Kluyveromyces lactis: one gene and its partners. The protein of the gene in region 3 interacts with the protein of the main gene of each other region in a pairwise test. Links are inferred from orthologs where the notes say so. Each region holds a gene or a part of one and is shown on either strand. Other genes may lie near its edges.

What was found.
Region 1: the proteins of RTF1 (region 3) and SPT5 interact in binary tests that used the Saccharomyces cerevisiae proteins (3 or more experiments, as listed by UniProt). The link is inferred for Kluyveromyces lactis from reciprocal best matches to the Saccharomyces cerevisiae genes RTF1 and SPT5.
Region 2: the proteins of RTF1 (region 3) and CHD1 interact in a two-hybrid assay, tested with the Saccharomyces cerevisiae proteins (3 studies listed by BioGRID, with this or other methods). The link is inferred for Kluyveromyces lactis from reciprocal best matches to the Saccharomyces cerevisiae genes RTF1 and CHD1.

What each region holds. Positions count from the first base shown.
Region 1 is NC_006038.1:68,439-72,677, forward strand, and holds the start of SPT5 (transcription elongation factor SPT5), read right to left. Parts: upstream 2,915-4,239; coding exon 1-2,914. Other genes in the region: RAD33 (Rad33p), read left to right, coding at 3,232-3,762; ERV25 (Erv25p), read right to left, coding at 4,090-4,239. UniProt on the Saccharomyces cerevisiae protein: The SPT4-SPT5 complex mediates both activation and inhibition of transcription elongation, and plays a role in pre-mRNA processing.
Region 2 is NC_006039.1:1,546,405-1,550,803, forward strand, and holds the start of CHD1 (chromatin-remodeling ATPase CHD1), read left to right. Parts: upstream 1-1,485; coding exon 1,486-4,399. UniProt on the Saccharomyces cerevisiae protein: ATP-dependent chromatin-remodeling factor which functions as substrate recognition component of the transcription regulatory histone acetylation (HAT) complexes SAGA and SLIK. It recognizes H3K4me.
Region 3 is NC_006037.1:70,197-75,347, forward strand, and holds RTF1 (RNA polymerase-associated protein), read left to right. Parts: upstream 1-2,036; coding exon 2,037-3,785; downstream 3,786-5,151. Other genes in the region: RMD8 (Rmd8p), read right to left, coding at 1-1,440; TAD1 (tRNA-specific adenosine deaminase), read left to right, coding at 3,991-5,133.

The DNA.
Region 1 (4,239 bases), on a different chromosome or scaffold from region 3:
CCCAGGCAGAGACACCTCCCTGGTTACCACCCCAGGTAGAAGTACCTCCATAGCTTGATTTATTGCCACCGCCCCAGGCAGAAGCTGCTCCTGATTCTCCGCTTGCTGCCCAAGAAGAGGCGCCTCCATAACTAGATTTATTACCCCAAGTGGACGCACCACCCCAAGTTGATGTAGCACCTTGCCCACCCCAGGTGGAAGTGTTTCCAGCAGCTCCACCCCAGGCAGAAGCACCACCAGGGCCTTGTCCGCCCCATGTCGAAGCACCACCCCAGGATGAAGTTCCTCCGTTCTGGCCAACCGCAGGAGTTTTACCGCCATCAAATGCATTCCAACCAGGAGTCATTCCACCAGGAAGTTGTTGCGGAGTGTTCGTTGCCACCGCACCACCGGCAGCCATGTGTCTTGGTGCACTGACATAGCTTGGGCCCAATCTGGTATGTGGAGTTCTACCACGTCTACTAACAAGTTCATCGTATGTTATACCTTCACCACCTTCATGACTGAAGTAAGTAAGTTTTCTTTTGTCTATTGTAATATGCTTATTTTTGGAGTGCAATTCAATAGTAGCCTTATCTCCATTGACGTCTTTGACAATACCCAACTGCCCCTTGTATCCCGCAGAACGTATCCTAACAGTTTTGTTCAAAGCGACGTCACGGCCAACTAACCGCGTCTGCTGAGTAGTTTGTGGTGGTCCCATCTTAGACGCAATATTTGGATTTATTTTAGATAAATCCAATGCTGACGACATCAAGTTTTCTTTTGAGGCGACAGCCTCGACATTCATTGGATTAACAACGAAAACACCGGCATTTTCCGTTATTGTTTTCGATCTAATGAAAATATGTTGGTTTTGAACGTAGAGTACTTGTCCCTCTCTACGGGAACCGATCTTTTCTCTTACTACATCGCCAATTTTTATTTCTCTACCATTACCATCGACAGCAGCTACTTTCGCTCTTGCTACATTGATCTTGGCAAGAATTGAGCCTTTAGTAACAGTAGCCACTTTACCGGAGTCGTCAATAATCTTGAAAATATCATGTCCAGCCTGGATCACACATGCCACGTTTTTGGCACTTAACTCAACAATGTCATGTAGAGCGTACTCGCTTGATGTCGGAGTAGAATCCATAGATTTACTCAAGTTATTCGCAGAGATTGTCAAATTTTCTCTAGTTTGGTCAGAAACAAATGTGACTTGACCGTTCTGCACCAAAAGAACCAAACCAGCGTTACCTTCATGTTCACCAGCTATTACTGTGACATGGTCACCAAGTTCGAAAATTTTTCTTAGAGATGCAATTGGGAACTCTAATGATTTATCTGAAAAGCCCGATAGTTTAACGCTGATGACGTCTTTAGAACTTCTAGTCACCACACCTCTAGATCCACGTTGTTCCCCGGTCAACACTTCAACACGGTCACCTGGTTGAAACATAGCTTTAGAAGCTTGAGCTTTTTTCATAGTTTGAGCAATAGCTGCTAGATCGACATCACCTTCTTTACTGCCGAACCTTGATAATTCTTCCACCGTAGGTTGGATATTCTTTGTATCAAGATACTGAATCTTAAAAGATTTGAAAAGATAACCGTCAACATAATCTTCCTTCCTGTAAGTGAAGTGCCTGTCATCTCTTTTGAATAAGTTGGCTTGGTCTAACCTTAATGCCATAGTAGGGTTAAATAATTGAGGAGGAGGCCTACTAGCAAACGTTGCTCTCTTTGCCTTTCTCTGATTTGTATCTGGGTCGATTTCGTCATTTTTACCGTAGTCTAATCTGGGTACAATCTTTAATAGAGCTTCTAAGTTGTTCTGACTAATTTGATCAATGACTGCCAAATCATTCTTATAAATACCCCTTTTAATTCTAACATAAGAACCAACATCAAGTCTCACTTCATCTGACTTGGTAGGCTTTAATAGTAAAGGTAGTTCTTGCACGGGAATCAAAAGCTTTTGATTAGAATAGACATCTGGAACACCGTTGACAAATTTTTCGATAACAGATTGTTTTGGAGCTTCGATATAGATTCTTCCTGTGTAATTGTCTCTTTGGAAGATGGACAGAATCTTTAATTTTTTAGAGCCCATAGATTTATCCAAGTTAAACTTCTTATTTAGCAACTTTCTCACTAGTTCTTTCTCCTTCCCTGGTCTACAACGAACGGACCAAATAATAGCAGTATCAACACTTGGTAACATAAACCTCTGAGGTACATACCCACCTTGAGTTTGTACACGGTAATCTTTGGAAGAGTCACGACCATAACGTTTCTTGAAGTCTTCAGCGATCTTGTGCATGTCTTCATCCGCAGTTTTTTGAAGATTTTGATCTAATTCTCTATGCAGTCTGTCATCAACTCTACCACCACGATCCTCTTCGTCTTCTTCGTCACCGCGAGTAATGAAACCTTCACGAACTAGTTCTGAATCTTCTTCATCTTCTTCGTCGTCTTCGTCTTCACTGACTTCGGCTTCAATATCCAAGAATCTGTTTCTTTCACGACGTTGCTTCTTCCTATATGATTCGACATCTTCATCTTCGTCATCGTCATCGTCATTGTCATCGTCGTCATTGTCATCTTCATCATCTTCATCGTCTTTGTTTTCTTGACTGTTTTCTTGATTGTTCCCTTGATTTCCCCTAATTGGACTATCTTCAGTAGCCTCTGTCTTTGGTTTAGAATCAGTAGGAGCGTCCTTTAACTGATCGACAGATGCAGAGTTGTTTTCAGAACTCCCATCAACTTCATCGATAGTTCTTTTCTTGCCTCCAACCACATCTGTAGAATCAGACGAAGATGAAGTAGAGTTATGCTCCTTATCTTGACTCTCAACTGACCCAGAAACTGTTTCAGGTACAGAAACAGCCTCTGCTTTATCGGATTCCTCAGCAGTACCGCTCATGACGTCTTACTGACTGTTGCTTTGTATCGTGAATGCGAACTGTAATGCATACTGATCATCATTACAACTTAGCGTGGACTACCATTTTTGTATTGAAAATTGGGAAGTTTAGATTGAAATTTTTCAAGGATCACAAATAGAGGGTAACTCTCGCCTAAGTATTTCAAAAGTACTTAAGTAGCCGATGAATCAGTCTGCATCACTTCATAACGAACGGGCAGCTAGTACCTTATGTAGTCTTTAATATATAACATCAGCTCTGGCTACGTTAAGGACAATATTAACCGATGAGTCATTGCTGACCAGATAATGTAGTTATGCGGAAAAAGAATGATGTCAGTTATGACACAATTACCAGATGGAATGAGGCCAGAATGCCCACCGAGATTGAAGATGAAGTCCTATCGATATATTTAAGCTTCACCGAAGAAGGTGAATTCAAGTGGGCTGATATTTCTAGTTTTTATACGGAATTACAAATCAGTAAATCATGGTACGGATTATTAGAATTCAAGGACTTATGCTTGGATGGAATTGACGTCATAGATTTCGAAAAACTCTTGGATGTCACTTATCGACTCTTGATCTTCATGGACAACGAGAGTATAATAGATAAACAATGGGAACTACTATTAAAATATACCGGTAGATTGCAACAGTTCCCTAAGGTTGCACTAAGGAAGCACGTGATAAGTGTTAAAGATGTCCAGAAGGCTGCTGTTCAAGTGGATATGGATCAACATATTATCCTGTCAATGGTAAGTTGGGCTACGAACGGCGAGAGGGTATTTGTCACTTACCTAGACTTTGCCAAATTACTTGGTAAAATGGGTTTATTAAGATACTAGCATCATTGCAATCCACTAAATAATTCACTTCCTAAAAAACACGTCAATCTTTGGAACATTTGGAAGAATATCACTAGTAACTTAGTACAAAACTTATAAATGTAACTGGTGGCCATATCAACATAGAATTCTAGCAAAAACAAAGACCTACCCGTCTAGGCATAATATAATCCCTTTCCCCCTCTACTCGTCCGATTTAGAAATTATGCCATTTTCCATATATAGATACTGTACACGTATAAAAGGCTCACCATATGATGTATGTTTCTTCAATTCAATATTTGAAGATCGTATTGAGATTCAAGGCATTGAAACTATTCGAACATTCTAAATAATGTGCTTAGCTCTAAAGAAGTTCTTCATGTAGTTTACTTGCCATGCACCCAAAGCGACCAAAACAACGATGACAGCGATAGAAAAGTTTCTAACTCTTCTGTTGGTGGACTCGTTGGTGTCTCTTAGTCTTTCTTCTCTCCC
Region 2 (4,399 bases), on a different chromosome or scaffold from region 3:
TTCCTTGCTTTGCAATTGACCTAGGATAGATTAGGACAGATTAAAATATAAATTAGGATGGATTAAAATCAGATTAATAATATCCTTCTGTATCCGAAATAAATAGTTTTAAGAGTAGTCTTATATCAAACTCTTCTCACCAGCCTTGAAACCGTATTCTCTAGTCTGTGCTTCTAAAACAAAAAAAAACTCTTTAAAAAAACGAATACCACTACTAAAGAATCAGAACCTATTACTTATTGAGATACAAGTAATCAAATTATAAGTACAACTGAATTAAAGCAAACTAAAACAAGTGAAATAACTTTATATTTTAAAACCTTTACCATTGTTTTCATACAGATAAAGCTTGGAAATTGTTATTGTTCCATTCTCGTTTTCTCGATGAGATGAGCTTTGTGAAATTTTTCAGTGAAAAAAAAAAAAAAAATTTTTTTTGGTGATGAAAGGATTAGTTAATTATCGTTTAGAGTGATGTGATATGAATATATAAAGAAAGCCGGCTTGAGATCTTGTTTTCTCTTCTTTGGATATCACTTTTCGGGGAATCATTTTTCCGGAACTTGGGCGGTTAAATCATGTCGAAGAAGCAAGGGTAGATTTGGGCGGGAAAGTGCCACTATGGTGGGAATTTCCCTGGAGTTATGTCATTGTGGTTGATTCAGGGGTGTCTCTCCGGTGTGGGCTCGCGTTGCCCATTTTTCAATGGGCAACGCGATATAAGTGCTTGAGTTTGTTCCTCCCTTTTTGAGGTGCATCATTCATATGGAATTGCTCACCAAGTGTGTAAACGTTTGGTTACTGATACGATGAAAGGGGCCCGTACTCGATTAGTACGGGATATGCTCTCTATTGTCGACTTTTTGAAATCGCCAGCATTTGAAATATTCACGGAATTCATACTGTACTGTATTTTTTTCTGTTGAAATTGAAACTGCTGTTTTATCAACTGGAAACCTCCTCAATTGACCACCGTTTGACCGTTCATTATCCAACCTTATTCTTTCCTTCGGTCTGAACAAACCGAGTAGACACGCCATGTACGTGTTTATTCAGCGTTTGCCAAGTCTGTCTCCACTGACATATGTGCCGATCATCTTCTACTTCTTGCTACCTTGCCCCATCGATTGAGATGGATAGTAATGTAATCCCCGTCTTGGTTGTCACCTGTCAACGGTAATGTGATACATTACTTCCTAGTTACCCTCTTTCTCACCCTAGTTTTATAAAATTTTTTTAGTCCTATATCGTCTGTATCTTTCCCGTAGTCAAAACTTGTTTTGAACTCTTTTTCCAATCTAAACCTGTAAAGAAAAGACCCATTCAACAGAGCACACGATTTAAACGTGAGAATATCTGCATTTAAGGATTCGATAGGTATTCTAAAGCAGTGGAGGTGAACGAATCTATTGTCACAGAGTGTTAAAGTTGTGTTTTGTATTAATATTTTTTTTTGTTTTTCCCTCTGTTTAGATTCATGCAATAATGGTACAGGATTTACCAGACGAAGTCTTAGCGAATCCGGAACTTTACGGGTTGCGTAGGTCGCATAGAGCCGCTATCACCCATAATACTTATGCTGGTTTAGATTCAGATTCAGATGAGGAAGTGATTCGTCCCAGAAGGGGTAAGCAAAAGCGGAAGGCTGTGAAACAGGAACATAATTATGACGAAGAAGAGGAAGAAGAAGAGGAAATTGATGATTTCAGTGACACTGATGATTTCGGTTCGAAAAGGAAACCAACCCGCGCACCTAGTGCCAAAAGGGGTAGGAAGCGTGTCAGTGCTGGTAATTCAAAGAGTAAACGCCAAGCGAAACGTGTCGAGGAGAGTGACGAGGAAAATGTCGTTTTGCCTACCAGGTTTTCGTCTCGGAATAATAATAAAGTCATTAATTATACATTAAATGATGATTCTAACGATGAGGATTTGATGGAATCTTCCGAGGAACAGGATGAGGGTCATAATTTGGATAGCGAGGATATGGACTTGCAAGATGGATATTCTGCTTCGCCGTCGCCGCAACAGGAAACGCATAGCATCGACATCGTTGTCGATCATCGTTTGAAGGAAGGTGTTGATAATTCGGGATCGACGAAGAATCGTAGATGGGATGTGGATTCCATCAGAGCTAACTTTGAGTTCCTTATTAAATGGGCAGATCAATCTCATTTACATAACAGTTGGGAGTCCTACGAGGACCTCAAGGAGAACGGGACTAAAGGTTTGAAAAGAATAGAGAATTATTATAAACAGTTTATCATTTTAGATCAAGAGGTGAGAGCAGACCCATATACCACCAGAGAGGATATAGAAGTCATGGATCTTGAGCATGAGCGTAGAATTGACGAATTCGAAGAGTTCAAGGTGCCAGAACGGATCATTGACTCGGAACGTTTTGAAAATGAGGACGGATCAGGTTCGTCCCAATTGAAGTATCTTGTAAAATGGCGTCGTTTAAATTATGATGAGTGTACTTGGGAAGTAGCCTCCGAGATTGTCAAGATGGCTCCTGAACAGGTAAAAGAGTTCCAAAACAGAACCAATTCCAAGATAATGCCACAAAACTCCTCTAATTACCCAGCAAATCAAAGACCGAAATTCGAAAAGCTAGACGCCCAACCTAGTTTCATTAAAGGTGGGGAACTAAGAGATTTTCAATTGACTGGTATCAATTGGATGGCCTTTCTTTGGTCAAAGAACGATAACGGTATCCTTGCTGATGAGATGGGTCTTGGTAAAACTGTTCAAACTGTTTCATTTATCAGTTGGCTCATTTACGCTAGAAGACAAAACGGTCCTCATTTAGTAGTGGTACCTTTATCAACCATGCCTGCATGGCAAGAAACTTTTGATAAATGGGCTCCTGGTTTGAACTGTGTTTACTATATGGGTAATCAAGCTTCAAGGGACTTAATTCAAGATTATGAATTTTACACCAACCCACAAGCTAAGGGCAAAAAACATCTCAAATTTAACGTTCTGTTGACAACATATGAGTATATTTTGAAAGATAGGTCAACGTTGGGTTCAATTAAGTGGCAGTTCCTGGCTGTGGATGAAGCTCATCGTTTGAAAAATGCAGAATCATCTCTATATGAATCTCTAAACAGTTTCAAAGTTGCGAACAGATTGTTAATCACCGGTACACCGTTACAAAATAACATTAAAGAATTGGCGGCATTGGTGAATTTCTTAATGCCAGGCAGATTCACTATTGATCAAGAAATCGACTTTGAAAATCAGGACGAACAACAGGAAGAATACATCAGAGATTTGCATAAGAGGTTACAACCCTTTATTCTTCGTCGTTTGAAAAAAGATGTAGAAAAATCCTTGCCCTCGAAAACCGAACGTATCTTAAGAGTGGAACTCTCTGATGTTCAAACGGAGTATTATAAGAACATTCTAACAAAGAATTATTCTGCTTTGACTTCTGGTATTAAGGGCGGCCACGTTTCTCTTCTAAATGTTATGAATGAATTGAAAAAGGCATCAAACCATCCCTATCTTTTTGATAACGCCGAAGAAAGAGTTCTTTCTAAGTTTGGTGATGGTCACAAATCTAGAGAAAACATTTTAAGAGGGTTGATCATGTCCAGTGGTAAGATGGTATTATTGGATAAACTTTTGACACGATTGAAAAAGGATGGTCATCGGGTTCTAATTTTCTCACAAATGGTTAGAATTTTAGATATTCTAGGTGACTATTTATCTATCAAAGGTATAAATTTCCAAAGACTTGACGGTACAGTGCCTTCTGCTCAGCGTAGGATATCTATTGACCATTTCAACGCGGAAGATTCTAACGATTTTGTCTTTTTGCTATCTACCAGAGCCGGTGGTTTAGGTATCAATTTGATGACTGCTGACACTGTCATCATCTTTGACTCTGATTGGAATCCACAGGCGGATTTACAAGCTATGGCAAGAGCTCATAGAATTGGCCAGAAGAATCATGTCATGGTTTATAGATTTGTATCCAAAGATACAGTTGAAGAAGAAGTCTTAGAGCGTGCAAGAAAGAAGATGATTCTAGAATACGCTATTATTTCTCTTGGTGTCACAGATGGTAACAAAATATCATCAACCAAGAAGAATGAACCGAGTGCCGGTGAGCTTTCCGAAATCTTGAAATTCGGTGCTGGTAATATGTTCAAACCAAATGATAATCAACAAAAGTTAGAAGACTTGAATTTGGATGAAGTTTTGAACCATGCAGAGGATCATATCACAACTCCAGAGCTTGGGGAATCGAATTTGGGTGGAGAAGAATTCTTGAGACAGTTTGAAGTTACGGATTATAAAGCTGATGTTGATTGGGATGACATTATCCCCGAAGATGAACTCAAGAAACTAAAGGATGAAGAACAAAGGCGTATCGACGAAGAATATGTCA
Region 3 (5,151 bases):
CAATAATTGTTCCCTTTTCAACCCCAAGGTACCATACAAAGCAAGTCTTTTAGGCAATTTAGAGACTGACCCGAAGATCGGAACTATGCGCGCTTCAAATCTCGATAGTTTGACCGATTGAGCTATGGCATGGGACAATGTTAAGGCTGTTAAGTGGTCTCCGGACCTCAAAGTCACTATGTCATTAAAAATACGAGGTCTTTCCGTATCCATGTCATATTCGAAATGGAAGCTTTCAATCTCGATATCTTGTTCATCTAAAGGTTTCAGCACCATGTTCTTATAAGATGAAAACGAGATGTCACCTAGGATGTTTTTTTCTTGAATTTCAGTGAAATTCCAGAACACAACTACACCATAACTGAATATGAAGATTTCCGCATGTTGCTGTTGAAATAATGAAGTTTTACCATTAATCTCATTGAAAGCCTCCAGTTCCGCTTCTGCATTATTCTCCTCAGCAAAATATTGTGGCTCACTTGGGTCGAAGGACACAGAAGTATTGACTGGCGGATTCGGTAGATGATCTGGTGTATTCTCGGCATTTAAATTATTTGTTACTCCCCCTTCGTCTAACTCGTAGTTATTGTTAACATCTTCAAGCGTTTCGACTCCCGAAAAATATTCATAATGATGATCTCTTCTCTCGCTGGTATCTATTAAATAGTCAATGATTGACTTACCTCCTTGGGTCTTTTTTGATATGTTTGATTTAATTCTGAAACCATCCTTGCCAGGCAATAAGGGAAGAGTATACGGTACGTATAAACATTCGTCGTATAACCTTGGTAGTACATCATGGGTCTGCTTCATGAAGGTTGAGGTTAAAGATAGGTTGAATCCCTCAGCAACATTGTATGCTGTTATTCTCGGTAGATCAACTTCTTTATCCATTTTGGTCTTAGAACTTGATTTCGCTCTCTGAGTTTTATTTGCACGCTTTCTAAACTGGTTTATATTTCTACTGTCATGGGCTTCATCCGGAATCAACACAAGTTTCTGAGACGTCTTAGAAGTTCTTGTCGGTAAAGGATTGATCATTTTGGTGATATGAGTTCCTCTTTGCCTATTTCGAGGAAACATGTCATATGAGGATGTAGATAAACGTTCCTGACGTCTACCTGACGGAACATCACTGACATCCAATAAAAGGTTATCCATAGACACATCGCTGAAGCGACTACTAATGGATTTCTTGTCTCCATGCATATCGTATCCTCTTCTTCGTACTCTACTTCCTTTAGAGTCTGTTTTCCCGCCTGAGCTAGCCGCAGATCTTGGCACTGAACTTACGTTCCTCATACCGGCAGCATGGCCCGCAAAGGGTGCAGACGGACGATTCTTGTTAGAACGTGCATCTGTTACCAAGATACTTGGCGATCTTCTCGATAAGGATCTGCTCATAGGAACCGCTGTGTTTCTATCATCAATGACTGACATAATGCACAATGATATGAACGAATATATTGGGTGCCGTTATTTGCACTACAAGTATCGAACAGTAGCGTACTATATTGAACCAAGCCCCGTCGACTCCAACAGCAATCTTGATTGCTAGTGATATATCCAGGCGGGTAGTGAATTTGCTGTCTCAAATGTAATCAAAGGCAGCCGCTGCCCAGAAATTCGTATTAGAACCGCCAAAAATAGAATGTTCTTATTTCACTTCGACAGTAGTATCTGCGGAGATAATGGTGTACTTCACAAGAGAACTGGATATGTCTACATATCTTTCTGCTAATATGTGCATTCTTTTAACAACGATCCTCTTAGTTGTGTTCGTCTTTTTTTCCATACATTTGTCAAAATATTACCCGAACATCTTCCACTTTCACTGAATTATCGATATTGAACAATCAAATTAAAATGAAAACTCAAAGACGAATGGATTAAAAACGGAATAGTAAGCAGTGGGAGAACAACTTCGATATTGTCTCCTTCCAAGTTATATCACCAGTTGTAGGATACGTGAATTTCACTACCTAAAACATTCAGGTATTAGTAATTTCTCGTCGCTCGTGTAATATCTATTGAGAATGTCTGATTTGGATGATGATTTATTGGCTTTAGCCGGTGCCGGAACTGACGAGGAAGAAGAGGATGAATTCCTATCAACATCCAAAAAGCACGCTAGCAAGGAGTCATCCGGAAGCAAAAGAAGGCGTATAATGAAAGACGATGAAGATGAAGATGAAGATGAAGATGACAATGATGAGGAGGATGACGATGGATATATGCCAGCGGACTCTTTCGACAATGACGAGGAAGAAGAAGAAGAAGAAGAAGAAACAGACTCAATCCCCTTTCCGTTGGAAGGTAAATACAAGGATGAGAAAGATCGTGAAAAGCTAGAACTGTTGCCGGAAATGGAAAGAGAATCCATTCTCTTCGAAAGATCACAACAGATGCAAAAGTATCAAGAACGCAAATTGTTGAGGCAACATGCGAAATCCATCAAGCAACAACAACAACTGCAAAGGGAGGGTTCAAAATCGACCCGTGCCTCTACTAGATCCTCAAGAACCACTGGTCATTCTGATTTGAAACAATCTAAGCTTTCAGAACTTAAGAAACAAAGGGCTAAAAAGAGTGGAAATTATGAATTTAGTGACAACGAGTCTGAAGATGATTACAGAAGCGAAGATGATAGCCGTGGCCGAAGAAGAAGAGGCGATTATGACGACGAAGAAGAGGAAGAGTCGGAATACGATGAGGAAGAAGATGACTATGATCTGGGCTATGAAAAATCAAAGACCCGCGGAAGAGAGCGCGCAGATATTCATGAAGTAGAATGGGCTGAAGATGACAATTTGGACAGGGAGTCTTCCCTTGATGATTATAATAAAATACAAATTGGCCGTTCCTTTGTCGCTAAATTTTGCTTCTATCCCCATTTCAACAAGATAGTGGAAGGATGCTACGGTAGAGTGAACATTGGTAAGGACAAGCACACAGGTAATTCAATGTATCGTATGGTAAAAATTGAACGTGTATTTTTACAAAAACCATACAACATGGGTAAATTCTTTACTAATCAATATTTTGGTGTCACTCAAGGCAAAGACAGAAAAATTTTCCAGATGAGCTATTTCAGTGATAGTCCTGTCACTCAACCAGAATACGAGCGTTATTTACTTTCTTTGGAAAAATACGACATTACACAGCCTTCACCCTATATTCTAAATAACAAGTCCAAGGCAGTAAATGAATTCGTATGCGAACCTCTCACACCGAAATTGATGGACGATATCGTTCGTAATAGAATGGTATTCAATAAGAAACTTTCAGGTACAAATGCTGTCATGGAAAAACAAGTGCTCAAAGAAAAACTGCAATTCTCTAAACAATCTGGCGATATTGAGAGTGAAAGTAAATATGCTAACCAACTTAAAGCATTAGAAAAGAGACTAAGTTCCTATGAGAAGCATCATGAAAACGATCAGAATGACATAAAGACCTTGGGTGCTTTAACATCCAAGAACAGAAAATTGAATATTGATCGAATCAGACACGCAGAAACAATCAAGAGAGAAGAAGGTGTAAATAAAGTGGATGCCAAGAGTGATCCATTCAGTAGACTAAAAACAAGAACAAAGATCTACTACCAAGAAATTCAACAGGAAGAAAACGAAAAGGCAAGAGAAGAAGCTAAAAGGCAACTAGAAGTTGACCAAGAAGCTGAAGAACAAAAGAAAAAGGAATTACTGCTTGCTAAATTCAGACGTCTTGGTGGCCTCGAAGAAATCATTGGTTCTCTAGATCTAAAATTACACATAGATATTTAAAAGTCCTATTCGGTATAGTGAATAATATTATGTTGTACTACTACTACTACTCTTAGTACTATCGGGATATTTTTGAGAACCTTTTTTTTTTTTTTTTCAGCCTTTGTACATATGTATTCATGTTAGATTTGTTTCCAAAAGTTTGTAGAATTTGCAAGCATCTCATACATGTCAGAAATGAAATCAGGAGCATCGTGCACAGCGAATGGCAGTCATTGCAGATAGAATTGCGGCTAGCGTCATAAGTGCATATGATAAATTACCTAAATCTGGCAAACCGGGAATCCGATCTAATGGAGTGACGGAGTGGACTGTTTTATCAGGTATTGTCGCGTTTGATGAGCTCAATGACAGGTATGAGCCGATTTCACTTGGCACTGGCGTAAAAGCTACTCCGAACGAAGAGCTGCAAAGGAGTAACGGGCAAATAGTACATGATTGTCATGCTGAAGTTATATGTTTACGCGCTTTTAATGCACTGTTGCTGAAGGAAATATGTGATCTACAGAATGGCCAGAAATCATTTTTAATAGAGAAATCAGCCGATGGCTACAAGGTTAAAGATGTTTGGAAATTTGCCATGTACATCTCACGCATACCCTGTGGTGATGCGAGCATGAATTTACTGGAAGCAGAAGATAAGTCAGAATGCGAAAATTGTCAGCAAGTGGGAAATATCTTTATTAATGGGCAATACGTTCATCCCGAAATCGATACAATTATCAGGGGACGCGCAAACTACAAATTGAGGAAAGTTGTTCGAACAAAACCCGGTCGTGCAGACTCAAAGATAACACTTTCGAAATCGTGCTCGGACAAATTAACAATGAAGCAGATGATTTCAATCTGCAATGCTTTAACCTGGTCACTTCTGCAATCACCTGTATATTTAGAATGGATTGTTCTGCCAAAGCAGTACCAGTACGAGCAAGTACAGTTAGAAGATACATTTTGGTTAAGATTAAAGAATCAGCAATTCTTGCCCTTTAAGTTTTTATTTTGTAATGAGACTTTTTCTGCTGATCGAACCAACTTATCTCAACAACCTTCTTTGAGTTCTTGTGTATCGTTATATGGCTCGAACGAAGCAGTATCAGAGGTAATACTAAATGGGGTCAAAAATGGATTCTATGTCAAAGGCAAGAAACCACTTCGAAAAGGTTGCCAATCAATTATCAGTAGATGTGCACAGTGGTCTGCCTTCAAAAAGATAAAAGCCATGCCCTCTGATACGGATTACTATGGCTTCAAATCAAGCGTTGTTGATCGAAACCACATTATTTCCAAAGCGAAAGCCACGCTCTCTGCTAGTGGCTGGATATCAACCTGCAGAGATAATTGCATATGACAATCGCACCATGCAGTG